Linked DNA regions of Solanum lycopersicum. The protein of the gene in region 2 binds, or shares a complex with, the protein of the main gene of each other region. Links are inferred from orthologs where the notes say so. Each region holds a gene or a part of one and is shown on either strand. Other genes may lie near its edges.

Evidence for each region.
Region 1: mediator of RNA polymerase II transcription subunit 15a (region 2) and mediator of RNA polymerase II transcription subunit 21 share a complex: the UniProt entries of both Arabidopsis thaliana proteins name them as parts of the mediator complex. The link is inferred for Solanum lycopersicum from reciprocal best matches to the Arabidopsis thaliana genes NRB4 and MED21.
Region 3: mediator of RNA polymerase II transcription subunit 15a (region 2) and mediator of RNA polymerase II transcription subunit 17 share a complex: the UniProt entries of both Arabidopsis thaliana proteins name them as parts of the mediator complex. The link is inferred for Solanum lycopersicum from reciprocal best matches to the Arabidopsis thaliana genes NRB4 and AT5G20170.
Region 4: mediator of RNA polymerase II transcription subunit 15a (region 2) and mediator of RNA polymerase II transcription subunit 32 share a complex: the UniProt entries of both Arabidopsis thaliana proteins name them as parts of the mediator complex. The link is inferred for Solanum lycopersicum from reciprocal best matches to the Arabidopsis thaliana genes NRB4 and MED32.
Region 5: mediator of RNA polymerase II transcription subunit 15a (region 2) and mediator of RNA polymerase II transcription subunit 14 share a complex: the UniProt entries of both Arabidopsis thaliana proteins name them as parts of the mediator complex. The link is inferred for Solanum lycopersicum from reciprocal best matches to the Arabidopsis thaliana genes NRB4 and SWP.
Region 6: mediator of RNA polymerase II transcription subunit 15a (region 2) and mediator of RNA polymerase II transcription subunit 31 share a complex: the UniProt entries of both Arabidopsis thaliana proteins name them as parts of the mediator complex. The link is inferred for Solanum lycopersicum from reciprocal best matches to the Arabidopsis thaliana genes NRB4 and MED31.
Region 7: mediator of RNA polymerase II transcription subunit 15a (region 2) and mediator of RNA polymerase II transcription subunit 8 share a complex: the UniProt entries of both Arabidopsis thaliana proteins name them as parts of the mediator complex. The link is inferred for Solanum lycopersicum from reciprocal best matches to the Arabidopsis thaliana genes NRB4 and MED8.

What each region holds. Positions count from the first base shown.
Region 1 is NC_090801.1:60,839,865-60,843,775, forward strand, and holds mediator of RNA polymerase II transcription subunit 21, read right to left. Parts: upstream 2,656-3,911; coding exon 2,446-2,655; intron 1,307-2,445; coding exon 1,229-1,306; intron 1,057-1,228; coding exon 1,005-1,056; intron 881-1,004; coding exon of another isoform or gene 873-880; exon of another isoform or gene 859-872; coding exon 782-858; 3' UTR 501-781; downstream 1-500. Other genes in the region: iron-sulfur cluster assembly SufBD family protein ABCI8, chloroplastic, read left to right, coding at 3,594-3,911. UniProt on the Arabidopsis thaliana protein: Component of the Mediator complex, a coactivator involved in the regulated transcription of nearly all RNA polymerase II-dependent genes.
Region 2 is NC_090803.1:3,490,980-3,495,065, forward strand, and holds the start of mediator of RNA polymerase II transcription subunit 15a, read left to right. Parts: upstream 1-1,286; 5' UTR 1,287-1,444; coding exon 1,445-1,587; intron 1,588-2,401; coding exon 2,402-2,513; intron 2,514-4,086. UniProt on the Arabidopsis thaliana protein: Component of the Mediator complex, a coactivator involved in the regulated transcription of nearly all RNA polymerase II-dependent genes.
Region 3 is NC_090811.1:1,518,090-1,520,634, forward strand, and holds the end of mediator of RNA polymerase II transcription subunit 17, read left to right. Parts: coding exon 1-410; intron 411-493; coding exon 494-805; intron 806-1,543; coding exon 1,544-1,867; 3' UTR 1,868-2,045; downstream 2,046-2,545. UniProt on the Arabidopsis thaliana protein: Component of the Mediator complex, a coactivator involved in the regulated transcription of nearly all RNA polymerase II-dependent genes.
Region 4 is NC_090807.1:64,223,280-64,226,968, forward strand, and holds mediator of RNA polymerase II transcription subunit 32, read right to left. Parts: upstream 2,445-3,689; 5' UTR 2,299-2,444; intron 2,297-2,298; exon of another isoform or gene 2,168-2,296; intron 1,914-2,167; 5' UTR 1,871-1,913; coding exon 1,430-1,870; intron 884-1,429; exon of another isoform or gene 868-883; 3' UTR 501-867; downstream 1-500. UniProt on the Arabidopsis thaliana protein: Component of the Mediator complex, a coactivator involved in the regulated transcription of nearly all RNA polymerase II-dependent genes.
Region 5 is NC_090800.1:84,070,838-84,074,337, forward strand, and holds part of mediator of RNA polymerase II transcription subunit 14, read right to left. Parts: intron 3,366-3,500; coding exon 3,191-3,365; intron 2,691-3,190; coding exon 1,775-2,690; intron 1,550-1,774; coding exon 528-1,549; intron 192-527; coding exon 1-191. UniProt on the Arabidopsis thaliana protein: Component of the Mediator complex, a coactivator involved in the regulated transcription of nearly all RNA polymerase II-dependent genes.
Region 6 is NC_090802.1:52,519,641-52,523,655, forward strand, and holds the start of mediator of RNA polymerase II transcription subunit 31, read right to left. Parts: upstream 2,801-4,015; 5' UTR 2,647-2,800; coding exon 2,609-2,646; intron 2,525-2,608; coding exon 2,427-2,524; intron 2,238-2,426; coding exon 2,141-2,237; intron 1,976-2,140; coding exon 1,897-1,975; intron 1,507-1,896; coding exon 1,229-1,506; intron 1,075-1,228; coding exon 1,059-1,074; 3' UTR 1,008-1,058; intron 836-1,007; exon of another isoform or gene 92-835; intron 1-91. UniProt on the Arabidopsis thaliana protein: Component of the Mediator complex, a coactivator involved in the regulated transcription of nearly all RNA polymerase II-dependent genes.
Region 7 is NC_090802.1:67,516,184-67,519,683, forward strand, and holds part of mediator of RNA polymerase II transcription subunit 8, read left to right. Parts: coding exon 1-107; intron 108-181; coding exon 182-362; intron 363-777; coding exon 778-885; intron 886-967; coding exon 968-1,038; intron 1,039-2,204; coding exon 2,205-2,495; intron 2,496-3,500. UniProt on the Arabidopsis thaliana protein: Component of the Mediator complex, a coactivator involved in the regulated transcription of nearly all RNA polymerase II-dependent genes.

The DNA.
Region 1 (3,911 bases), on a different chromosome or scaffold from region 2:
TGTAGTCTTCAATACGTCTCCTGCGTTAGTTTCTTCATTCATGTATTGATGCCAATTGTCATATGACGTGGTTGAGTCCTTCTACCAGTCATAGTTGGACCCACGTTCTATCTAAATTTTAGCATTCAACAAACCCCGATGGCTGTAAATTCTTCTCTTCGTTGCTGTCACGCTTACATATTAGGCAGACAAGGTTTTCTATATATTTTGTGTGGTTGCTACTTGTTTTCGGCCACGCCTCAGTTCCAGCACGACAAGAAAATATTCTGGCGATATGCAATCTAAACTCCCAAAGTACCCAGACACAGCCCAAAATGTGTCTACGAATTAAAATCATCAACTCGGTAGGGTAGTTGTGCATGCCAGCTGCCATGTTTTGGGATCACATGTTTACGAAGTCAGTCTGATAATTGCATAACTTTTGACAAGTGCTGGAGCAGAGAAACTAGCCAACTTCTAAATTGAACACGTGGCACAGAAGACACTAATATTTAAGGATGTGGAGACAAAAAAACTGCTGATTTTTGCTATTTAGGCACATTATCCCTACCTCTTTTCATTCTATAAACACAGCTCTAAACCAGATACAATAGTATACTGAATTCTTTTCTTCAGCAGTGGCCAAGAACTTAAAAAAAAAATAATGTCAGAGCATGCCTAATTATAATTAGTTAATAAATGTACCCATAACAGACATGGACACAATCAATTTGTTGTTCCTCCAGGGTATATTCCAGCAAGAATGGGCTCCTCAAGCAAACTGAAATATCTACTACCTTATTCATTCTGGCTTCTTCAAGTTCAGGCAGTTATCTGTTGCTTGGTTAAACAACTCCTGGACCTGCTTTAGCTCCTTCTCTAAATCACCAAAATCAGCAAACTGAGTCTCAGAATAAACAAAAAATTAATAATACAGACAGGAAAACGGAAATTTGGACCTTAGCCTAATCAGAACAGCTTCCACTATCTTTCAGAAAGAAAGCAAGGGAAAAACAAACTCTTACCTGCAGCTTCCAGTTGTTTTTGAAGTTCTTGGCCAACTGCATCGTTCTCAGCCTACATCACATACATACACAACCGAGTAAGACTACTAAGCCCAAAATAGACAGACTAATCTTTATTTATCCTTCTTTATTTTTTTAGTTTAAATACTGTTAAGCTATAACACATCAGAATTAGAGGATGTCAAAAAGTGAATTCCACCAATTATTCACAAAGAAGCATATACCTGGAGTTCTGCAATTCTTTTCAATTGGGCTTCTTCACTCCCATCCGATAAAGGAAGAGCAGCAACCAACACATCGAACTGCTCAAAGAAGGATAAGAAAAAGAGAAGATAGATTTAATACAATGACATTGTAGCAAAGCATACACTTTAGGATCACAATGAAAATTTGCAATTGGTCTGAATTAGAGCCACACAATCCTCAAGGCTACTCTCAAGTGTCGGCTGTGCTGCTTAAGTTTGATAGGATGCTAGATTAGACAACCTCTGATTGTGAGGCCAAGAAGAAAACAAGGGAAACATAACTGTAAACTTGAACACCTTAGAACTAATCACAGGGTTGTCCATATACATTTCATAGAAGACAGCTAAAGGGCGATAAACTAGAACTCAGTTTTCCGGTTTTGACACCAGGTTTACCCGGTGAGTCTTGGCCTAGATGTCATGGTTACCAAACCTGAGAGGCTGACATCAAGTTCTCTAGTAAAAATCCCTAGAGGCATGCAATCCTGTCCAGCTAGTAGTTGGAATTTGTCCGCCATTATGTGATTCAGTCAAGTTTTATTGAAGTAGTTGGTGATGCTAATAGCATTATTGTATTTCTCGTTAAACTAAGGACAAAAGACTAGGTATTTGAACTCAACCACACTGGTCTCAGGAATCAGGACTAAGGTCTTTGAACTCAACCACGCAGGTCTCAAGTCTGAACAAACAAAGACTTAATATCATCTGGTATAGAACTGCATGTACGCATTAGATATGATGAGCCAAGATACAACTTAGTGTTATCTTGTATAGAACTGCACAAACACATCATATATCTAAAGATTTGACGTTTCCAAAAGTAAACATACTAGTCAAAAGAAGACAAAAGAAACATTATTTTGTCCAAAAATGATTTTTTGAAGGAATGGTAAGTGCATTTGTAATACAGCACCAAGAAGGTGCAATCAACAACATTTACAGGGAACACAAAGATATACCTTCCTATTCTTAAAGGGATTCTACAAGTTCAATCACTTATTCAGGCTCATTTACAAAAAAAATGTCTACACAAAAAAGGAAACTAAACTAAATAGTTTATCTTGATCTTCCGAAAAAAGAGAAAATTCCCTATTCTCGAAGTACACGCAGATTACTTTTATACCCTGGTCTGTGGCTTGTTCATATTCGTTGATGAATAAGCAGAAAAAGTGAAGGTATGGAGTATGGAGTTTCACCTGCTTGGCAGCCTTAACAAAAGCAGCACTCATTTGCTTTGGTTGTTCTGCAACATTAGCTGAGTCTTCTGTGGGATTAGCAGGTGGAGGTTCTGGATAATTAGGTGATAGACGCACAGGAGGGGCGTCCCTCTGAAGAGTACCAAAGGTGTTGAAAGCAAGAGCTGCAATTGTATTTACTTGTTCCTGTAACTGTGATATGATATCCATCTTCCAAATCCTTCCCTTTATTGCTAACAAAAATGGTGAATTTTGAGAAAAGATCGAACAAAGGAATAGAAAACAGAGGAGAAGAACTTACCTGAAAACCCTAGAATTGGAGGTCCGGGTAGAGCCGAAGTAGATTCGATAATCTGTTACAATTGTTTTAAAATTAGACCTAAAATTAACCATTATTTCAATTAAATTTTACGAAAAATGCTCAAAAATATTTCTGAATTATCCGAATTAGCTCACATATATCTTTAAATTAAATTCTAGCCCTTCTATTAAAGTATTGAGTTATTTTTACCCTTAATTTTAACAAAGGTGTGTTAAGTGTCACCTGAACGCCACGTGGACACCATATGGATGCCACATGAGCACCAAAAAACATCATCTCCATGTAGACTCATAAATCTTAATTATTAATTTTTTTCTCATTTTCATTCATTTTACTTCTCTAAAACATAATACGATTTCCCTTTTTTTTTCTTAGACGATTTTCTCTCTTATACGATTTTCCCCAGGATTTTACAAATTTCTCTTATGAACGCCATTGAATTTCTGAGTAAATTTCGTCACTTTCTGAGTTTCACCGTTCTTATAGATAATGCACAAACACCAGTCCTAATTTGTAAAGTAACATGCACAAACACCAGTCATAACTCTTCACATTTACTTGTTTTTATTTTAAACCTTTCAACATAAAGTCTGACTTTATCATTATCAAGTGAGCGCTTAAATGACATAAAATGCAACAAAAATAATTTAGCTTTACTATTTTTTTTAATTGTTTTTTTTTTGTTGTTGTAATTTAGGCTTTGAAAAGATGCACGTGGTCAGCATACGACATCTTAGATCAGACACCACAAAAAATTAAAAAAGAAACAAATAAAATTTATGTTTGCCTTCTCATCCTGCTTCTTTCTATCTTCTAAGCATCAACTATGGCTTCTCTTCTCACCAACGGAATCTCACACTTCTGTCCTCAATCCATCGCTGAGCAGCCTAAACTCCCAAAAGGGTATAACTTTTTGCCTAATTCACCCGGCCCCAAAATCTCAAATCCAGGTAATTTCAAGATTAAAGCTGCTGATGCGAAGGCCACTGTTGAAGTTCCAGGTAAAGAATCATCTTTATCAATCTCAAATGAAGGCGACCCACTTCAGAAATTCTTGAAAAGAGACTATAAATGGGGTTTTAATGAAAATATTGAATCTTTTGCGCTGCCAAAAGGGCTTTCGGAGGATACTATTAGGTTAATT
Region 2 (4,086 bases):
AATGTAAGAACTTAAATGTAAAACCGATCAAATATATATACTAGATCAACATTTTCATAATAATACACTCATCATCTCAAAATTCTAAATTTGCCTATAAATTGAATATATGATTTTCGTATAAAGTGTTTTACTGAACTCGTACACGACTAAACTAGTTGTTACATTCATGTTTAATTGTTTGGGATGTGTTTGATGAATTTGGGATGAGATAAGAAAATGAATTGATTTTTAATTTGTATATAATAAAGGAAAAGGGGATAAATATACCCTTAAATTATCGTAAATGATATGTTGATTCTGTTATTGCACGAATTATATACACGACAATACTTAATTTATTACAATTTAATTTATAAATGCATAGAGTTTCTTTTAATTCCCAATCTAAGCATATTTTAACTAGGAAAAAAACATACTCTCCTAGTCCACTTTTATTGTCATGTTGCGCTTTTCGAAAGTTAACTTATCTAATTTTTGAAGTTAAATTAAATTACGTTAATTCAATTTTTTTTTAAAAAATAGATATTTAAAAATTATACAAAAAGTAATATAAATTACAATTTTTACATATCACTATGATAAAAATATTAATCAAAATTCTTATACCTTGATTCTTAAAAAAGAAAGTCATGAAAATTAATTATGGACGGAGAAAATAGTAGTTAATCATAATAAAAATTGTCAACGATCCTCGTCAAAATGCTAATCTCGTTGACTAGTTAATTTTCCCGGTCAGCCACCCCCCTCAAACCCCAATCCCAAAAAATTTAATTTTGTTATTTAAAAATACAAACAACTTTAAATTTTTATTTTTTCACTCTTACCCCCTCCCCCTCGCATTACCCCCACCCATACCTCACCCCATAAAATAGTAATTTTGTTTTTAAAAAATATTTTAAATTTAATAAATTATTTTTTACTCTAGTATCAAAAACATTTTTCATTCATAAATCGAACACTATAAATCATTTTCGGAAAATATTTTCTACTCACTTACAAAACATGAGGAAATAATTTCAAACTCTACTTGTTTTTCACGAAAACATTTTTTAGGAAAATATATTTTCCATGAGAAAATACTTTTATCACTATTCAAATCATTTATTTTTTTTTAAATAAAAACTTTTTATATACTACACAATGCTAAAATAAAATCACTATATTAAACATAAATTTTTTTTTCTTAAACTAGCTTAAAACTAGTGAATGGGCCAAGAGATATTGAGTCAATGGCGGCTGGACACGTTGGTAATAGTCAGATATTACTAAAAAAATTTATTACTATGTATGAAATGTATAATATAAAGTCTTTGGGAGTTTTATTTTCTTATTTATACATACACTCAAGAAATCTAGGCGCAATTGTGATTTTTCATCGTTGATCGAAGCCAGAAATTGTGATTATTGATTGTGGATTAAGGAATTTTGGTGCGGAGTTGAAATGGATGGGAATAATTGGAGGGCCGCTCAGGCTCAGGCTCCGGGAGGTGGTGAAGGTGGTGGAGCGGCTGCCGGAGCTATGGAGTCCGGTGATTGGAGGACTCAACTTATGCCCGATTCGCGTCAAAGAATTGTGAATAAGATGTAAGTTTTTTTTTTTTTTAATTTTTGGTTTTGCGACTTGTTCTTGTTTTTTTTTTTATATTTCTGGAATTTTGAATTTTAGGGTTTTTTTTTTGTGTTTTATCGGTTATCTGAAGAAATCCGATTTCGTTAGAAGTATTGATTAATCAATCTGATACATATTTTTTTTCAGTGTCGTTCTGTTTTATGGAAACTTACTTTATTAGGTGAATTTTGGGGGGTTTTTTGTTAATGGTATTGGGTGAGTTAATTGGAATTTTGTGCCCTAGTTATTACCAATTTTGGTAATTAGTCAAGGGGTAACATATGCTTACACTCTGACCCCATGTGTGGGATTACACTAGGTATGTTTTGTTGTTGGGGGTGGGGGTGGTGTTGTGGTGGATCAGTCAAGGAACTAGTTCAAGTGGGAAAACCTAGTTTTACTCACTGTGCTTTATATTTTGTTTTAGATATGTCGAAATGGTTGGCTGTTGTTCGCGATAATTGGATAATAACTACTTATATTTGCTCAGAGGAAATAAGTTTTAGTCTTTTGTAGCAGGGTATGATGTCAAATTATTGTTAATATATTTGAGAAGCATTTATCTAGATTTTGATCTTATCAAGACTTTGTTCTTGATATGTCAAAATGACAGGTTGTCACTGGAGATAATTGGATTATAATTGCTGATATTTGTTTAAAGGAAACAACTTTTACTCTTTTGTAGCAGGGCGTGATGTCGAATTATTTTTAATATATTTGAGAAGTATTTATCTAGATTGTGCTTTTATCAAGAGTTCAGGTTGATCTTTTGTTGATATGATTATATAGAATGGAGACCTTAAAGAGGCATCTTCCTGTTTCTGGGCAAGAAGGAGTACAGGAGCTTAAGAAAATTGCTGTAAGGTTTGAAGAAAAGATCTATTCTGCTGCTACAAGTCAGGTATGTAGTCTAAACTTGTTTCTTATTTGTTCAAATTGTAAAGCTAGCTCATAAACCACCCCTGCCTTTAAAATCCGATATTAGACTTTTGATGCAATTTTGTTTTCAAGACCATATAAGGGAATCACTCATCCCTTTTTCATCCAATGTGTGATTCTTGTTTCAATTTGTTATCCGAGACCATATATCCTTTTTCATCCGATTTGAGACTCTTGATGCAACTTGTTCTCCAAAACCATACAACCATCCATTTATCTGATGATGGATTCTTCTACATAAATGATTCAATTTGTTCTCCTTATCATTGATGTTATTCCTGCTTGTATAAACTTGCATCTAGACACGTTGTATTAGGGATGGCAAGAGGACCAGGTACAGTGCGGTTGCAGGCCAAATCCGCATAATCCTGCGAAGATTTTGACCCCCCACCCATATCATTATGTTTATGTTGATTTTCGTACTCCTAAAGGAAAACATGAATTACCATTTTAGCAATTTTACCAAGACATGGCTGACATTAAAAATAATAATTGGATATTCTTATATTTGCTCTCATCAAGGTTCTTATAACAGGGAAATGGAAGAGCCTGATAGTATATATCAGTTCATCTTAAGCATGTGATTTGTAAATCTTATTTAATTGGTAATTTGTGTAAGTAAAATTACCTATTACAGTGATGTCACAAACAAAAAAAGGGTTAATTCTGCATATTGACATGTTTTTCTCACACGTAAATATTATAGTATCATATTAATTATTATTCCCCAAGAGTGCTCACTATATATATATATATATATATATATATATATATATTTTGATAACCGAGAAATCCGTCTGTGACCCGCCACCCTTTGGACCAATCACAGTCTTCTAAACTAGGTGAATAATGGGCCTGGAGAAATCCGTCTGTGACCCGCCACACTTTTGACCAATCACAATCTTCTAAACTAGGTGAATAATGGGCCTAGAGAAATCCGTCTGTGACCCGCCACCCTTTGGACCAATCACAGTCTTCTAAACTCGGTGGATAATGGGCCCGGCCCTCTACCCTTCTCCACTTAAATACTTAGCGTCGCTTTGCAAGTTTGCATGGTGGGGCTTGAACCTGCAACCTAAGTTACAAATCCTCCACCTTTTGCCGCTTGAGCTAGGCCTTGGGGGCAGTGCTCACTATATATTTGTCAACGCAAAATGGATAGTAATAAGTTATATGGAATTAAATAAAATAATTTCATATTTGAGTAACCGACATAGATTCACAAAATCTACTTTTACACTAATTTTTATACTGACTACCACAAAAAAATAATTTAGATCTAATTTGAATGTCTTTGCATGCCTAAGCAACCTCCACAAAGTAGGTTTAAGGTTTGTGTAAACTCCATCCTCCCCACTCTATCCTCCCAGATCTGGTTGCACGCCTAAGGAAAGAACTTAATTTCTTTTTTTGTTCTTGTTCAAATCGCTGCTTGGAGATTCTTTACTTCAGTAGAGGCCTGAAGGTTTATCGAAAACAATCTCTCTATCTTTATGAGGTAGTGGTAAGGTCTTTGTACATTCCTCACCCTCCCC
Region 3 (2,545 bases), on a different chromosome or scaffold from region 2:
TGACAGGAATACAAGAAAACTTGTTACGTTTAAGTATAGGTCAAAGAGCTTCTCTGTCCATTTCACTTGTACCATCTGCTGACGATGGTCAGACAGCTAATGCTGTGGGTGATGAACATCCAGAAACTGCTATTGTGCCTTTTGAATCAGTTGATGCTTCAAAACAAGATGAAGGGAAACTTGACTTGAAAAAGTTGGGGTTTCCCAATCGAATTAGTTTTGAAATTTATTTGCAACAACTTTTTCATGAACATGTGTTTATAAAAGCCAAAAATAGATTATCATCTTTGGGCAAACCTGAAATATCTTCTCAACCTGTGAAAGATGGTCCCAACCTTTTGGGACATTTCTGCGTCTCTCTAGCTCATAGGATCTTCTCAAACAAAGTCCTCGCAGAGCTCGAAAGTCTGGTATGAACTTTTCTGTCTGGGTTTGTAAACTGCTAGCTAATGTAGCCATTATGTATCTGAAGAATTCCTTGTTTTGTCTGTAGGTTAGCAGGGTACCATATGTCCAATTAATATCGCATCCCACTTGGCATTCTCGAACATCATCATGGACGCTTTCCATGGATGTACCCGAGTCAATTCTCCATGCAGGAAGCCTGTCTCACTCATCTGACTATGTAAAGAATGTGAAATTTCACTTTCGTACAAAAGTCATGGTGCGTGATGATTGCATCAGTCTGGAAGGGGAAGGTGCTCCTAATATTGTTGGCCTCTTCAAAGGAAAGCCTGATAGTATTTGCCCTATGAACAGATATGATTGTGACTTGTCAGATCTTCCGATGGTTCTATTGCAGCAGGTCTGTGTCCTCATCCTCTTTACTATTGTGTTTTGATATGAAAATGGGTGACCATACTATGAAGAATCGTTCATTTTCTGGCCGGATAAACTTCTATTCATCCTAGAGCTGGTACTTCCTTAAAAAAGAAAGCCTATGATCCTAGACTTTTTTTATTTTTCCTGTGATTCAGTTGAACCATCCAAACTCTTTGAGTCTTTTTCTGTTGTATTGCGTGGGGTGATTTATGTGATACGAGTAGCATAGAAGGTTTTCAAACTGTTTGTGTTGCTGCCTAGGATAATTTGCTATCTTGTGGTCGGGGACCAAACTTCTGGTGGATAGCTGTGGTCATGATGGTGAGGGAGAATGTTGTTTTGTTACCATAGAAACAAATGTGAAGCCCCAGCCTCAGTCCTCACCCACCTCCAAATCACTGCTTTAGTTAGGCGCCTGTCACGAGTTTGAATCTTGTCGCAGAGTATAGAGGGGCAAACCTATTATCCTTTAGATTTCAAACCTTTTGCCAGTTGGCACTGGGGGATTGGGGAGACAAGGGAACATAATGTTCCGCACCATCATAGGGAATCTCAAAGCCCCAAGCTCCATTTTCTCAGTTATCACAGAAAGGGAAAAGCAAAAGCATCACATTTGTACCCTTCCTTTCGATAAACAAATCAATATACAATCTACGTTGGAAATCAATGTCACTTCCAATCTTGCAGCAACCTTATGTCAAGCTATTAATTTCTTCTTCAGGTTGCCAGCCAGGTGATACGATGGCTTCATGAAGAAGCCCTTATGGTTGGTATCAAAGCAAACCGGGATTTCTTATCCTTGTCATTTGAGCTAGAGCAAGGAGAAACACTCAGTCTCGTGGCACACGTAGACCCTGAAGATATTCAAGGATGTATTTCCTGGTGGTTGGTGATGGGCGATGGATTCTCTGAAGAAAACAAACTTCAAATGGACGTTAACAGTGGTGAATCCGAAACTAGGAAATTCTTAGGTTATTTATCTTTAGAAGTGTTATACTCAACCTTAATGGATATGGTTAGCGTTAGTAGTACTGCAGGCCATTGATTTGTCTCTACGTATCTGTATTTTTTTTTCTTCGTTTCTTCGAAGAATATTTATCTTGTACAAATTATGTAGCTGAGAATATCATACATCCAATAGCTCATAAGCTAAATCATTGTGGATTCAATTTTTTTTTAAAAAAGTAAATTGTTTGTTGGATTTATTCCATCATTTGGAGAAACTATAGGTTCTTGTGTATACACTTCTCCTCTAAGCAATGTCTATGTACATCTTAACATCTCCGAATTTAACTTGTACGATTTTTTAAAATTATACTGGGTATGTTATTGTTGTTGTTGTCCTACATTTCTTGGAAACCTACTTCATTGATACATTTGCAACTAAAAACAATATTTGTTGAGAAGAAATATTTTCAAAGTTTCTATTTTCAAGTAAAGTTTTTGTAGTTTAAATCATCAAAACATATAGAAAGAAACCTCTTATTTGTGGCTATGAAGAGTCGAGTGTGCATTTTAAATTATTAATTAGGTCACTTTAGTCTTGTCTTAATCCAAATTCATCATTCATTAAGACTTACCAATAAGAGATAAACCAAACAATTTGATCACAATAAATAACATAAACAATTTTTGACAAGACTAATAAACCACTAATAAGAGAAGCTTCATCAAACATGAACCCCACTAAAAAGGAAATATTTAACTTATACCCATTTGTAGT
Region 4 (3,689 bases), on a different chromosome or scaffold from region 2:
CAAAAGATGCTCTTAAGCATTGTATGTTGCCTCAAAACCCATTTCTTCTTGGGTCTGCATAAAATTAATGAAAAGAGCGTTGTTTTTTCTGATATATATAGCTTTATAGAGTAGCCTCTGCTTGTCATCCCTTCAGACGATTCTCAATAACCATCAGAACTTTTACATCATAGATCTCTCATTTACTAGTATTAGTTTGCGTTATTGGACAAAGACGTTTCCAAGTGCAGTGACAAGTGAGAACTTCTGTTTTCAAAGTTATTATACAGTACAACTAAATATTAGACTGAGATAAGGTTAAATGGAGCGACATGGATACTGAGCATTTGTGTAGCAATCAAGATGTAGTTGTAAGCTAAAGCGTATTTACTAATACTGCTACACTCAAAGCGTCATAATACTCTGTTGCAACAATTCCAGAGGTCTCCAAAGCCTACTGAATGAGTTCATCAGGGTTAACACAATTAACTAAAAAGCCACTTTACAAGATTGGAGATATATTTCCTAACAAAAATCGATTATAAACATAAATACTCGAGAATATAAGGTACACATAGCAGACACAAACATACAGCCTGTTTGTATATGTTGGTATGCTTAAGATCTAAATAAAGCTAACAGTGCAGTAGCTCATACTGCGATAAAAGTAAATCTCTGTGCCTAGAAAACACAAATGTAAATTTGCCAGATCTTCTCATAAGATGGCGAGGGAGGGAGGCGGTAAAGGTGGTTTACAAATATCATTCCAAAGTATTTCTTCTACATCGTTACAACATGACTTCATACATCAAACATCAACTTTAGCGGCTTACTAAGGCACATAAGATCTTCTGTTTCTCTCTGCTGATCACCAGACTCTGTAGTTACCTGAAAACAGTCACAACTAATAGTTCTTTGTTTTACAGCGATGAAAACAGAATAAAACGAAACCAATTTTTTTTTTCTAGTTTCCATTTGTCTGTCAGAAGTGTTGGGTCAAACTCAGCTTAATAAGTAAGGATAGTACATAATTGATCATAAAAAAAGAAGTTGGGTCAAACTTAGCTTAATAAGTAAGGATAGTATTCTTCATAAATAAAGTAAGGATAGTACATATAACATAATTGCTGCAGAAACTAGTGGTTACTCACAGTTATTCGTTCTGATGGAAGAGAACATATGATGCCACTAAAAAGCAGTTTTGTTAGCTTCTACTACTTTTCTATCAACCTGGAAATTTATACAAGACCAGCGGTTTTGTAATAGCAGCTCTTATATATGAATCAGTTTCAGTTCCAAGGGAATGTTCACTTATTTGCTTCATCATCAAGTCTAGGATACAAAGCCTATCACTAATAGTTCATTAAATAATACAAATTTGTTTCCAGATTATTTAACATAGTCAACGGAAACGACAAGGACAGGAAGTATCAGCGAGATTTCAGTATACCTATTGAGCTGCATCTTCAGAAAATCTGGCATCAAATGGAGCAGAAGGATTGGGATGTACTGCTGAAGCACTATTCGCTCCAGAACCATGTTGCAGTTCTATCACTAGCCATCTTACAGCTTTACTCATCTGCTCCAACCTAACAGCACTAATGGGTTGAAGGCCACTTGCAGCTGGTTGCCCAGGCTTCCCTGAAACAGTGCCTGTAGCCTCATCCACAAGACACTCGGAGCCAATTCTTTGCTTAACCGATTCCACAAACTCCTCCGCCTGATCACACGCAACCCTGAACAACTCCCACTTTTGCTTAAAGTTTTCTAATGCAGCATCAGTTGCTGCTGTTTTCTGACCATTAGAACTCTCCTTTGATTCAAGTACAACAGCTGATGCTGCAACAAAGTCTTGATATGCACTGCTCAGTGCATCTACGAGATTATCCATCACAACCCCTCGAAGCCCTAATTGATCACTAACCTCCGTAAATCTATAAAGGAGAGAATAAATTAGCAAGAACATCATTAAAAATTTAATCTTTGTATCAAGACCATCATTAAAAATTGAATCTTTATAGCAACAACATCATTAAAATTGAATCTTTAGCAAGACCATCACTAAAAATTGAATCTTTGTAGTAATTTCATCATTAAAAATTGAATCTTTGTACAACAATTAAAGAGCTATTATGCTATCAAATTCTGCATACAAAAACAAACCCAAGAAACAATTTTCTATGATTACCCAAAACACTCAAAAGCAAGAAATCAACTGAAACAAAATTGATGCAATACACAAATTTCTTGAAAATACTCAAATAAATTTAAGCAAATGAAAAGAAGAAAAACCACAAAGACTAGGGTTTTTCTACTTACTTGACTGAAGGAAGAAAATGGCTTCCACAATCTTCTCCTCTGTCTTTTTTTGGTTTTTTTCTCTTCTCCCCTCACTCTGTTTCGAAATAATTACATATTCCTCCCCAATAGTTTTCATTTGTAACACAAAGCTTCCCTTTAGTTTCAAAATTAATATTTTAGAGTGTAAGATTTTTAAAATATATTTGAATAAAATCATAATTGAGTAATAATTGTTTGAGTTTCTAATAATTATTTATATATATACGAGTGCTATTTTATTGGACTAAAGGAGTAGTATTATTTATGTATCTTAATTTTTATTTTATTTGTATTTTCATCATTAGTATTATATATTAAGTGTTCTATGTACATTAAAATGAGACATATATTTTTTTTCATTTGTTAGTGTTATATATTATTGATGAGTAATTATATTATATGTGATGAATAAAATTAATTTTACATTAATGTTTAAATTAAATATTTTGTTTAATTGCTCAAACTTGTCAAATTCATCGGTGACCTCCTAAACTTGCTATCGATTTTCACTTAGAACACCTAAATTAGGCGATGTTCATTTTAGACACCTCGTGTAGGGTTCTGTTGTGTCATTTTGGCACTTTTTGCTGACATGTCAAAGTGAGTGTGATACACTTAACAATAGCGCGTGAAAGACTTAATTTAGCCATTTTTAATTTTATTTTATCTTCTTCTTCTCCAAGCCACCACCCCCTTTTTTTTCGAATTTAAATTCCTTCAATGGAGGTCAAATTTTTTATTCAAATTCGTTGTTAAGTCATTTTCTTCTTCATCATTGTATTACTTATCTAAGTCTATCTTCACCTCACTCTATTTTTTGCCGGAAAAATGGATACCAACACCCATATTTCATGTTTATTCTCTCCCTCCTTTCTTTTTTTAAAGAAAAACAATACTAAAAAGAAGAATAAATATGAAAAATAGTAAAAGAAAATAATATTTTTTTGTAAAGCACAAAAGAGATTTGAGTGTAATGAAATAAGAAATTTTCGTAGAATAATATTTTAAATTTTTTTACTAAATAGATTTTATAATTATTTTTAACTGAAAATAATACATGTAATTATTTAATTGATTGTTTGCCACGTCATCAACGAGTGTATTACACATTTACACTCTCCTTTAGTTTTTTATTTATTGTCAGAAAAGTATCAAAATGACACAGTTGAACCTTACATGGGGTGTTTAAAATGAACATCGCCTGATTGAGGTATCTAAGTGAAAATTGGTGCCAAGTTTAGGGGCCATCGATGGATTTGACCTAACATTTTTCATACGCATACAATATCACATAAGACCAACTTTTATTTCACATTTATTATTAGAAAAATTACTGAAATATACTTTTTATATTCTTCTTATTTTCAGTA
Region 5 (3,500 bases), on a different chromosome or scaffold from region 2:
GGTAAGGATGGAACATAACCAGTCTGCTTTGCAACAGAAGAAATAGGCGCTGTAACACCAGGAACACCAGAAACTGGAGCTGCTCGTGCCGGCCGCGTTGCAGCAGCAAGAGCATGCAAGGGTCCTGCAGTGAGACGGATGCAGTCCAAAAGAGATGCAACTTCAGCACCATTGATGAAATCTTCAAGAAACTGTGGTTTGCCAAACACAAAAATATGGAAGTCGTTAAGTTTGGAACCAACAGTGAAAGTTTTGAGCTTAAAATATGGTATGAAAATGCTTATAATTGAAAGAGAAACAAAATAGAAAGGCTATGCCCCCACATGCAGAATATTTCACAGGACTTTCCTAGCTTAAACCGCAATAATGTAATGGAACAACGTATAACTCAAGATCTCAAAAAAAGGCCAATTATAGGTTCATAAGCATTTTGAGGCTCATGGAATTGTAGACAAGAAAAACAAAAGGAATAAAAGGAGACCGGAGAAAAACAGAACAACTTATACGTAAAAAAATAGAAACCAAACCTTTGTATGTGGCCAAAGTTGATCAGGTGAAACATGCATAGTGCAGCCCTCTTTACCAGATTCCCATTCAACCACGAAGCGAGCAAGCACCCCAGAACCGAAACTGAACCACAGACTCATCAGTCCTACTGCCTCAATTCTGAATTGCTTTCTCATCTGTTCGGAAATTCTATCAGTTGCATCAGTAGTGCCTTTAAGTGCAGCCGGTGCTTTACTTTCAGAGTTTGCATTATTTTCTTCAAACTTCTCATCAGCCCTAGCACCAAGCAACTTCCGCATTCCAAGCGCAAATGTTCGAGCATTAGATAGCCTTTGAATATCGGCCACCAACTTCTTTATACTATCTGCATCAACTGAATAATAGCTCAAAACAACTCCTTCACAATCATAACGAATATGAGAATCTGCATCAGATGTATTGGCAATCCGAATGCCAGAATCCCATGGAGTACTATTGCTTCCTTTCTGAAGCTCCCACAAGTCCTGGAAGTGCTGGTCATTAATTTTCACATCCCAGTACATACTTCCAGGTCTACCTAGCCGCAGGCATATATGTTGCCAGGTGTCATCTCTGGCAAATGGAACTCGGAACCATAAGTTCGAGGATGCACTTCTAAGACCCACTTCTTCAACATATGGGATGTCAAGCGCCTCCATCTGACTAGTAAGCCGGGCATGTTTGATACATAGTGAGCAATGCCTGACTACATGGAGAAGGGAAGAAACATATATACTAGAAGGTGCATTCCCTTTATTAGCTTCAGCTATAAGACTTCCATAGCTATACTCTTCAGTTTTCCCAGAAATATCTGAAGAAGTAAGCATCATTGACTTGGGTAGATGGGTGCCAGCAGACTCCACAAGTTTTCTTCGCTTATATGATCCTTCATTGGACTGCATTGATTGAAGTGATGGAAGTGAATCTAACAAATCTGACAATGTACGCTTCCTAGGCAAAATGTTATATCCTGAAGCTGCATCTTGCTCTGACTTTATACATGTTGCTGAATCTATAGTTTGGGCTGGCAAAAAACAAAGGCAACACAGTTCTGAGAAATATGCATAAAAAATAACCATGTCCCCTGAGCATTGGAGTTTTTCGTTATTATTATTATTATTTCAATTTTTATTTTATTTATTTATTTATTTGGGGGTGGGGGGGTGGGGGGGAGAGCTACAGCGACAAATGTATATACTCAACCACATACAGATATATAAGAGACATTCTCAGAGGTGATTTGACTTACATCCGGGACTTAAAACCAATGAGTTAGAGTCAGCAGTCCTGAAACCACCTGGTAAAGTTCCCACAGCAGAGTTTCTTGAGCCACTAGCTTTTCCACTTGATGCAGAAACTCGATGTGGTGGAGATAGGAGCCGAGCTGACCGATTTGTAGATACAGTCAGCTGGTCTTCATCCAATGATGTATATGATCCAACTCCTGCAGAATGAGGTGATCGGAGAGAAGTCAAATCTTGCTCAGACTTCGAAGCTGTCAACTTTTTCCCAGTTTGAGTTGCAGCTAATGAACCAACTGAACCTGACTGTATCACGCCCTTGTACATGGAGTTACTGTAGTTTCCTACTCCACGATCCCACTTAGGGGACAGAGTTCCAACTTTAAGACTCTGATAATTAGCAACACCAGTGCCAAAATGAGATGCAGGAGAAGCACCGAATGTTGATGGGGGGATTTGACCAGAGAAAGAAGGCACCGAGGACCCTTTCTCAAGTTCGAATACTTCATCAACAATAGACAAAAATGTTGATTGCACACCGGAAGCAACTATAGAACCTTCCAAGCTGAAGTCGGCAAGAAGACTATTTTCAGAAGTTTGGTGACTGCCGCCATCACTACGTAAAACAGACAGCAATTTCTTGCTGTTGAGAAGACTCAAATTGAGCTCGTCCTCACATATTTGCATCCTTCCAACATCAATAGTTTCTACACGAACCACGTTACTCAGATCAGCAAGAGATTGAGCTTTTGCTGGTGAATCTGACCGACTTTCAAGCAATTTGAACACAGGTTTGAAATCTTTGTCTAGTTCCATCAGCAAAAAGTACGAGCTTCCACATTCTGGAAAACCCATAAGCAACAAATTTGTACCAGAAGAAATGCTCTTTGGCACCTTAACTGCTGCAGACCCATGTTCAAAGACCTGGGATTTGAATTCATATATCATATAATCATTAAAATAGCTAAACATATCAATTACCACTAGATAAGCTTAAATGATTTATAATTGAACGCATAAATGCAAACACCAAACTTTGATCCAGCCACTGCATCTACAGAACATATGCAGCAAGATAAAATAATAAAACAAACTGGCAATTAATAATCAAGTTACTGAGAAGCATAAGCCATACAAAGGCAAGCTGGCCAGGACACCACACTTATTTTTTTTTTAAAAAAAAGTAAAACAAAATAGTTATCGCTCCACACCGATTAAAAAAAAATATGGCTCCATGCAACTTAATGACTAAGCAAAGCCTATGTGAAGTTAAGATCACTCCTAAATGTCAAAGGAAGGCAACTGGCAGAAAAGTCAAGACAAGGAATACTGAATATAACAATAAAGCCTCTCTATCAAAATTAATAAACAGAACAACTAATAGCCAAAAGACAGGAAAAAAAGAGATAAAAATGCATGCATACCTCAAGGCCTAAGAACCTCCCAATGCACGCAAACAAATGTAAAATGCTTTTGCTTCTCAAGCTAATAAAAGCCTCAGCAGCTGACATACTTCCCTGGTTTAGGGCCTCTTCACACTCAACAACTACTGATGATGATATAACATTCTTGGATGAGTGAAGAATGAAGCGTCCATTCCTGGAATACAAGAAATAGTTAAGAGTACACCGAAAAATTCTTGCTTCCTGATCGGGATTCTCAAAGAGAGATCCAGATAACAGTGTACTCGAAGAAAGTTGCAAACATCAAAAGCAATTAAGACCGTAGATAATT
Region 6 (4,015 bases), on a different chromosome or scaffold from region 2:
TGTCGAGAAAAGGACACACGGCATAGTTTCAAACTGAAACTCATAAATATATATGGGGAAGCACTTCACTTGACCAAAACGAGAAAAGAGATGAGTGATAACATGAAATCCTTGGAATTCCGTTAATGAAAGTGATACAGCTAATATAATTTTGTGTGCTGCACTTAATTTCAGGTCTATAGATCTAGGTTGTACCGATTCTTAAGTGTCACACCACCCAATTCAAGCCAAATGGATAAAGTTCCTCTTTTGTTAGTTTTCTGGAAAGACAGTAGGCCCTTGAGAGTCAGTACCTGCAACTTTGAGGACACGGAATTGGAACAGTCGAAGGGGAAAGAATAACTACAAAGGCAAAGGTGATTATAGGAATTCGTACAGGCTAGCCGAGGAGAGGGACCGTAACCTTGCCCAAGTGAAGTGCATCAAAGACCATAAATACTCCTCCCATTTACCATAGATTATAGGCAAAGGTTCATATACTTAGACCACACTAGAGAAGTTGCTCCTTCATTTATCATCAAAATCTGAAGTTCACATGTCAATATGGTGATTCGAATTCTTCACTCCATTGATAACCCATTACTGCTATAAGTGTGCATTGGCAATCTTCCAGTCACCTATCACCAGATGTCTGAGCTAAGCCTAAAAAATTAAGCAATTGAAACCACAAACGAGGGCATCCCAAAAGAGTTCAAAGGCAGGCTGCTTCCTTTCTGTTTTGGTTACTTGGTTTGGGAATAAAATTAGTTCTACATTTATTTCTTAAAGAAATTTGATCCTAGTGAACCCAACAAATGTGTAGTTGATCTCTCGCAAAACTTTAGCACTATGTTTTCTGACATGAGAAAGAAAGTACAGGTCATTGATCATGCTTGAGACTTGGGAAGGACTCTAAAATTCAATAAACAACAAATCACACTCTTAATAGGATTTCATTAATGTGTTTGCCAATGAGGAACTGCAACACCTATTCGAAAAATGAAATCATGGGGTGCAAAATGTATTACCTTAATTCATAAATTAGTTGATAGGAGGTCTGTGCTATGAGTAAAATAAAATTATCCGTCTTTCCTGCTAAAACAAAATTATCCAAGTCAATAACCATTTCAGAAACATTACGTCACAAATCTAACCCTAAAATATAAAATCATAACAAGAGGGAGCATGCAACAACAAGCATTGACAAAGTTTTCACAGTAAGAGAAAAGTAAAAGAGGAGAGGAAATACTTTCTCTTTCTTCGATCAACAGAAGCATTCCTTGGGTCCGTTTTAGCAAGACCAGATCCAGGAGGGATGGCATACTGCATCGGGGAAAGAGCTGCAGCTGTAACAGGTGTAGGAGCAGGAGGTGGAGCAGTTGGAGGGGCTACACTTGATGGTAGTGATGCAGGTGGAGCAGAACTTGGTGCAGTTGCAGGCTCAGGAAGCGGCCGCGGCAAAATATGTTTCAACCGGTTATTTCTGTAGTTCTTCCAGAAGTAAAATTGCTGCCTATGTGCTACTTCCTAATAGTTGTTACAAACATGTAGATCAGATCCTATCACAGATTTATGTGCCAGAACTTTAGGTTGGCAAACAAAGTGCAATAAATAATAAACAGTGAAATGAGATGAGATGTCCTCGGGGCGAGAATTAACCTCGACAACACGATTAAATAATTATAAGTTTTATGCCTAGAAACTACGGGAAAGTTCAGAAATGGAAATAAGGCTAATGGCTAAGACAATGAAGTACCATGTATTATAAAGTGTTTTGGCAGCATTTTTAGTCCATAGAAACTGTGTTTACAGAAAGTGGGGTGAACCTTCTTTATAGTGGCTGACAGTCTTAACTAACTAAAGAGTATAGCAAAAGTGGAGAAGGAAACCAGGACAACACATGACATAACTTTTTACCTTGTTAGCAGGATGAGCCATTGCATTACGAAATGTTGGATTTTGGAGAAGCTCGAGAAAGAATAGGCAGTGTGGATACCTGCATTAACATCAAGAAAGGAAAACCAATACGATTAGTTAACGATATCCATAGTCCACAGGAAACAGAAAAGGAACAAGGACCATCATCCACTGCATCTAAAAAGTTGCAGTAGAAAGAACATACATAACTATTATCACATATTAATACTATAAACTAACTTACATTATAAACTTTATGTACTCAGGTCGTTGCCAGTACTGAAGGTACTTCAAGTACCCAATAAAAGCTTCATCTTCAAAATATCTGTTCTGAGCCAAATCTGCATCAGAATCAATACAAAGTCCACAAAACAAAACAAAAAATGAAAAAGGGATAGAAAAATTGAAGCTTTTGCAACCCAATATTCATTTTCACACCAACAACATATATAACATAAAACTAACAATAATTGGTAAATACCCAGAAAACATCATGTTTAAATAAGAGAAGGGAATAGATAGATAGATACAGTGAATGTAAGTTGGGTTAGCAAGGCATTGAACAAATTCGAGTTCGAGTAAGAAACGTTGGCGCCCATCATCGGGATCTTTATAGACGCTTTTCTGCCTGCAAATTGGAACAGAAAAAACAGTTGATTAATGTGAATTTGCGAAGATGCAAATTGATTTGAGATGAATTGATTCTGCTTACGGTGATTCATGGGTTTCTGGATTCGATGTAGAAGCCATGCGCTAAACCCTAACTAATTCTACTTTTCAAAGTTAGCCGTTGATTGTATTGCTGCGCTATATATACAAAAGGAAAGTCTGAAATTCATTGCATTTTTAAGATGTAATGTAAAAATGGATTAAATTCATATTGAAATAAAATTTCAGTGTTAAAATGACATCTTGTATTTGATTTTGATCCTAATTTTTATTTGCTCAATATGAGTGTGTCATTAGATTCATTTACTCACCTAGATTATACAGTCGATCAGATTGAAATGGTTAGAAATCTTTTTTTTAAGTGAAGTCATAATTCTCATATGTGATTATACCAGTGTTACTAAAGATGAAAAGCGCAAAAAAGCTCTTACGATCCATGGGGAATTTAAGCGCAAATAAAATGTAAGCTTTGATGAAAAAAGACGCAAAGGGAGGAAAAGAGTATAAGTATGCATGTTTAGTCCAAAACTAATAACTATAAACATGAATATGTCAAATATATGATCAAAGAAATTGAAAATAATTATGACAAAGTGAAATATCAGTGATTTAACTTCACTGTCTCATAAGAGGCTCATTGGTAAGGTGACGTTTGCCTTAGAACATTGGTGAAGACACTAAAGTGCACATAAAGCGACGCGAAGCCCTCAACACGTTTTTGAGTCTCGCTTGCGCGCTTTATATCTAAGTTTTGACCAGTTTTTTATTAGTATGCATGAATTTTTAAGCTTAAATTCGTAGTTATATAAATGTGAAAATTGTGATTTTAGTCCAAGGGGTTAAAAAAAAAAGGGCGATTTTGGATGCAACCTTCATGATTTTGGTTTGGAATAAAAATCTTATATCACTTTTGATATTTATAAGCTTGAATTCAAGTTGACTCTGTTTCGGTTATTTCTCAAAGAAACATGTCTACGGGCCACAACTGAATATATGTGTCATGAAAGAGAGGTGCATAATACCATGCCTAAAATGAGCATGGAAATTGGGGGTTTTGGACCTACAACTACGAAATCATATTTCGATGACCAATGTTTCCAACCAAATTTTAGATTTGTTTACCCTTTATACAATTACCAATTTGGACTACTTCAATTGGTATGTCCATGCTTTTTCCTATTAACAAGACGCTTTACCATACACTACAAAATCTTCATCTCTGTCTATACCAAAGCATTTTGTATCTACCCTAACATGGAGTAATAAATAGTCCTTTAATAAAATTAAACACCATTGGTCTTATTGCATGTAGCTATTAGGATTTGAAGTTGGGGATAAGGAGGTTTAGGAGAGGGGAGCTTAAGAGTGACCAAACCACAACCATACATAATTCAGACCATCTCCAACAAACTGTCTATTTTATTTGTCTTTTCCATTTGCTGCCCAAAAT
Region 7 (3,500 bases), on a different chromosome or scaffold from region 2:
CATCAAAGCTGCTGCCAGAGATGGAAGTCGAAGATAATGCCAAAAGGGAGCAATTATTACACAGCATGCAACACCTATCGGTAGCATCCCAAATTGAGAAGTTGAAGGTGGAAAGCTCTGCAGATGCTATTTCTTCTGTTTCTGTATCCTTGTGGCTTTCTAATATACCTATAACACACAGGTTAGAATTGATATGATTGGAGCAGCATGTGAAAGTGCTGAGAAAGTCATAGCTGATACGCGCAAAGCCTACTTTGGAACCAGACAGGGGCCAACACTGCTTCCAACTATTGACAAGGCACAAGCAGCAAAAATTCAGGAACAAGAAAATTTACTTCGCACTGCAGTAAATCATGGTGAAGGTGATAATATTTATGTTCTGAGTTTTTTCCCAGAAACATCTTTTCTCCTTCTCAGAGTTCGTTAAATGTTTTGCTTGCACAAGACATTGACGCTAAAGATACTTGGACCCCAATGGTCCCTATGTTGATGTTTAATCTAAACTAAAAGAAAGAGAGAAGGATTCTTGCAAACTATCAGATCCACTGAGTGCCTTGTTAATCAGAAAATTGCACATATTTCTGATGACGAAGAAGGTGCAATTGCAAGTCAGATGCTTCAATGTGCTTCTGCTATGCATCACAATATATATGTACAATAAACCTGACATGTGTCTAGTGTGTGTAGCATCCCTTTGGTGGTGTTTGGCGGTACACTCGTTTATGATTTGTTTTAACATGTATGCTCACAGATTTCATGAAAATGGTACTTATGCAGGATTACGTGTACCTGGAGACCAAAGGCATATTACTTCTGCACTTCCTGGTCATTTGGTAGATGTGCTTACAGTGTCTGATGGCCCCCAGTCTTTCGCTGATTCATCCGGTAGCCTATCATCTATTGTTGTCCTACTGTTTCCACTTTATTTCATGAACATCTGACTAGAGAAATTGATGCTGTGTTCAAGTAGGGACTTATCTGAAGAATACTCCTCCCTTTCCATCGAGCAATGTTAATAGTCAGGGAGCTTTGTTACAGGTCAGATTTCTTATAATTTGCCTTGTAAATATGCCTTTTGCTTAAGGGATGAAGATCAATTTGAAACATGATTTTACTTCCACCCTCCGGCGTCCTGTAATGTTGTTATTCAAAGGAGCTATGAACAAAGGGACAAGTGGTTATCTTGTTAATGAGTGAATATCAATTTGGAACACATGAATTTTACTTCCACCACCCATAATTTTGTTACTAAAGGAGTTATGAATAAGGAACAAGTAGTTATCACACAATTATGCTATTCTATCTTTATCATTTAAAAAATTATGCTATGGTTTCTTTCTGTTTCGAAAAAAGGAGCCTTAACAAAGATAAGCGGTATGCCGTGTTACCAGGGGGTCACAGGTTTAGCCATGTGTAGGTCTCTCGCAAAAATGCAAAGTAAGGTCTGCACCTTCTCTAGTCCCAGGTATAGAGGGAGCCTAGTGAATTGGGCTACCTTTTTGTCGTCTTCTGTATGGTTCTACTATCTCTTTTACTGTTCTCGGGGAGGGAATTGTCATGCCTTTTTATTCCCAGTTCACTCTAGGTTTACAGACCTCTTTTTAGGTTGGCCAACCTGATTATTTTCACATGTTCCATAGCACCAAATGGATACCAAAAAACTGCACATCTTAGAATGGGTTTAGATCAATTAGTTACTGAAGGAGTTTACTAGGTCCACTATAGTATTTAATAATCATATACATGTTCTATGTTACACACCAAATACACTACCCTGATTGTAATTAATATCAACTACTGCATGTTCTTTGTATACTTACATCCTTGGTTACACATCAACTTCTCGTGCAAGTTGTAACGCCTGTTTTTTTTTTTTCTGGGGGTGAAAGAGCTGTAGGAATTATTTCCCTCATTTATTTGAATTTATTGGAGGATGGGAGATCAAGTAGAGTTTGCTATTAAATACTTATGTAAGAGTTCGGAGAGGAAATGCAAATCTCCTTCTATTCATGGCGCTAATCAGTAATATGGAAACAATAAATGATTAATCTGCCAGAAGTATACTGATCATATCCTTTTTCCATTCTTTCTCCTTAACTAAACATTACATTAAATCAATGTTCCCCAAGTTATTTTAATATATTGAGTCCTTATTGTCTTTTAAGTTCGTCAGTTCTAATATGTATGTATTGCTCTTGGAGTAGGCTTCTGGAGCACTTCGGGCTGCAGTTTCTCCTTCTGGGCCCACTTCCTTTGATACTACAACAGCATCACCTCTGCAACATGTCAACTCACCTAGGTCTAGTGCTAACATGATGAATACACCATCTCCTCAGCAACAGACCCATCAGCAACAGCAGCAGCAACAGCAGCAGCAGCAGTTGCAGCAGCATCAGCTCCAACAGAGGCAGAAAATGCTGCAGTTACCTCAGCATCAGCAGCAAATTCTTGCCCAACAGCAACTTAGGCAAGCCTCAATGCCTGGACTGGGGCAGGTACAGTTTGTACAAAAATCTTGATTGGTTTAAGGTATCTTTTTGTGAATTTGCACGACGTATAGCGTGCTTAGTATGGGCTACCTTACCATTACCCTTTTACTCATAAAGAACAGGCATATATCTTCTTTTGTTTCCTCCAATTGTCAGCTATGAGAATTGAATCCCTAGCAGTTCCTTCACAGAAAAGCCACTTTTTTTGGCCTTTAATATCCAACTAGTTCCATTAGGGAATCCACTGAGTCCTTTATGACAACCCGTAAATAGATTTAGCGGTGAGAGGGCCTGATGAATCACCATCCAACTGCGAACGCCTCTCATCTCGCAAAATTTACAAAAGTTGAAGGCTAAAATTGTTTACCTCATTCAACTCTTGAGTCATTATGATTCATTTAAAAGGTCCAGAAAAGAGTTCTCTCAGGCCTCTGCCACATCCCATGTTGACTTTTAACAAATTGGGAGAAGTCCTCCTAGTTGTGTGGTATCCCGTATCCCCATCCTAGCTGCTCTTTGATAAGGACTGGTAACTTGTCATCCCCATTTCCTTTCCACGTGTACTCCTCTGAACCATGCTCCAGTGCAATCTTTATCAACCCTTGACCTCCAATTAGGGATGTTCATGGTTCGGTTTGGGTCAGTATTGGTTGAAACCAAAACCAAATACATATCAATCAGTTTGGTTGTTGTTATTTGGTTTGGTTCAGTTTTAATGATACCTAATGATATTTCTCTCTTCAATTTTTCCCCTTACAATTAAGAAGGATTTTCCCATCCTTTTTCATCTTTGTGATGTCTTCCATTCAAAATACTTTTGATCATTCATCTAAAGAGGATTCTGGGTTTCTTTTATCCGAAGCGAATGCTTAGCCTATTTTGTGTTCTTTTTACAGTCAAAGACTGACATAAAATAACAAAGAAAATAGATTCATAAATTGGATCCACTGTTTTGATATGCTTAATGGTAAATCCTAGTATGTGAGGACAGGCCACTAGTTTTACAGCCAA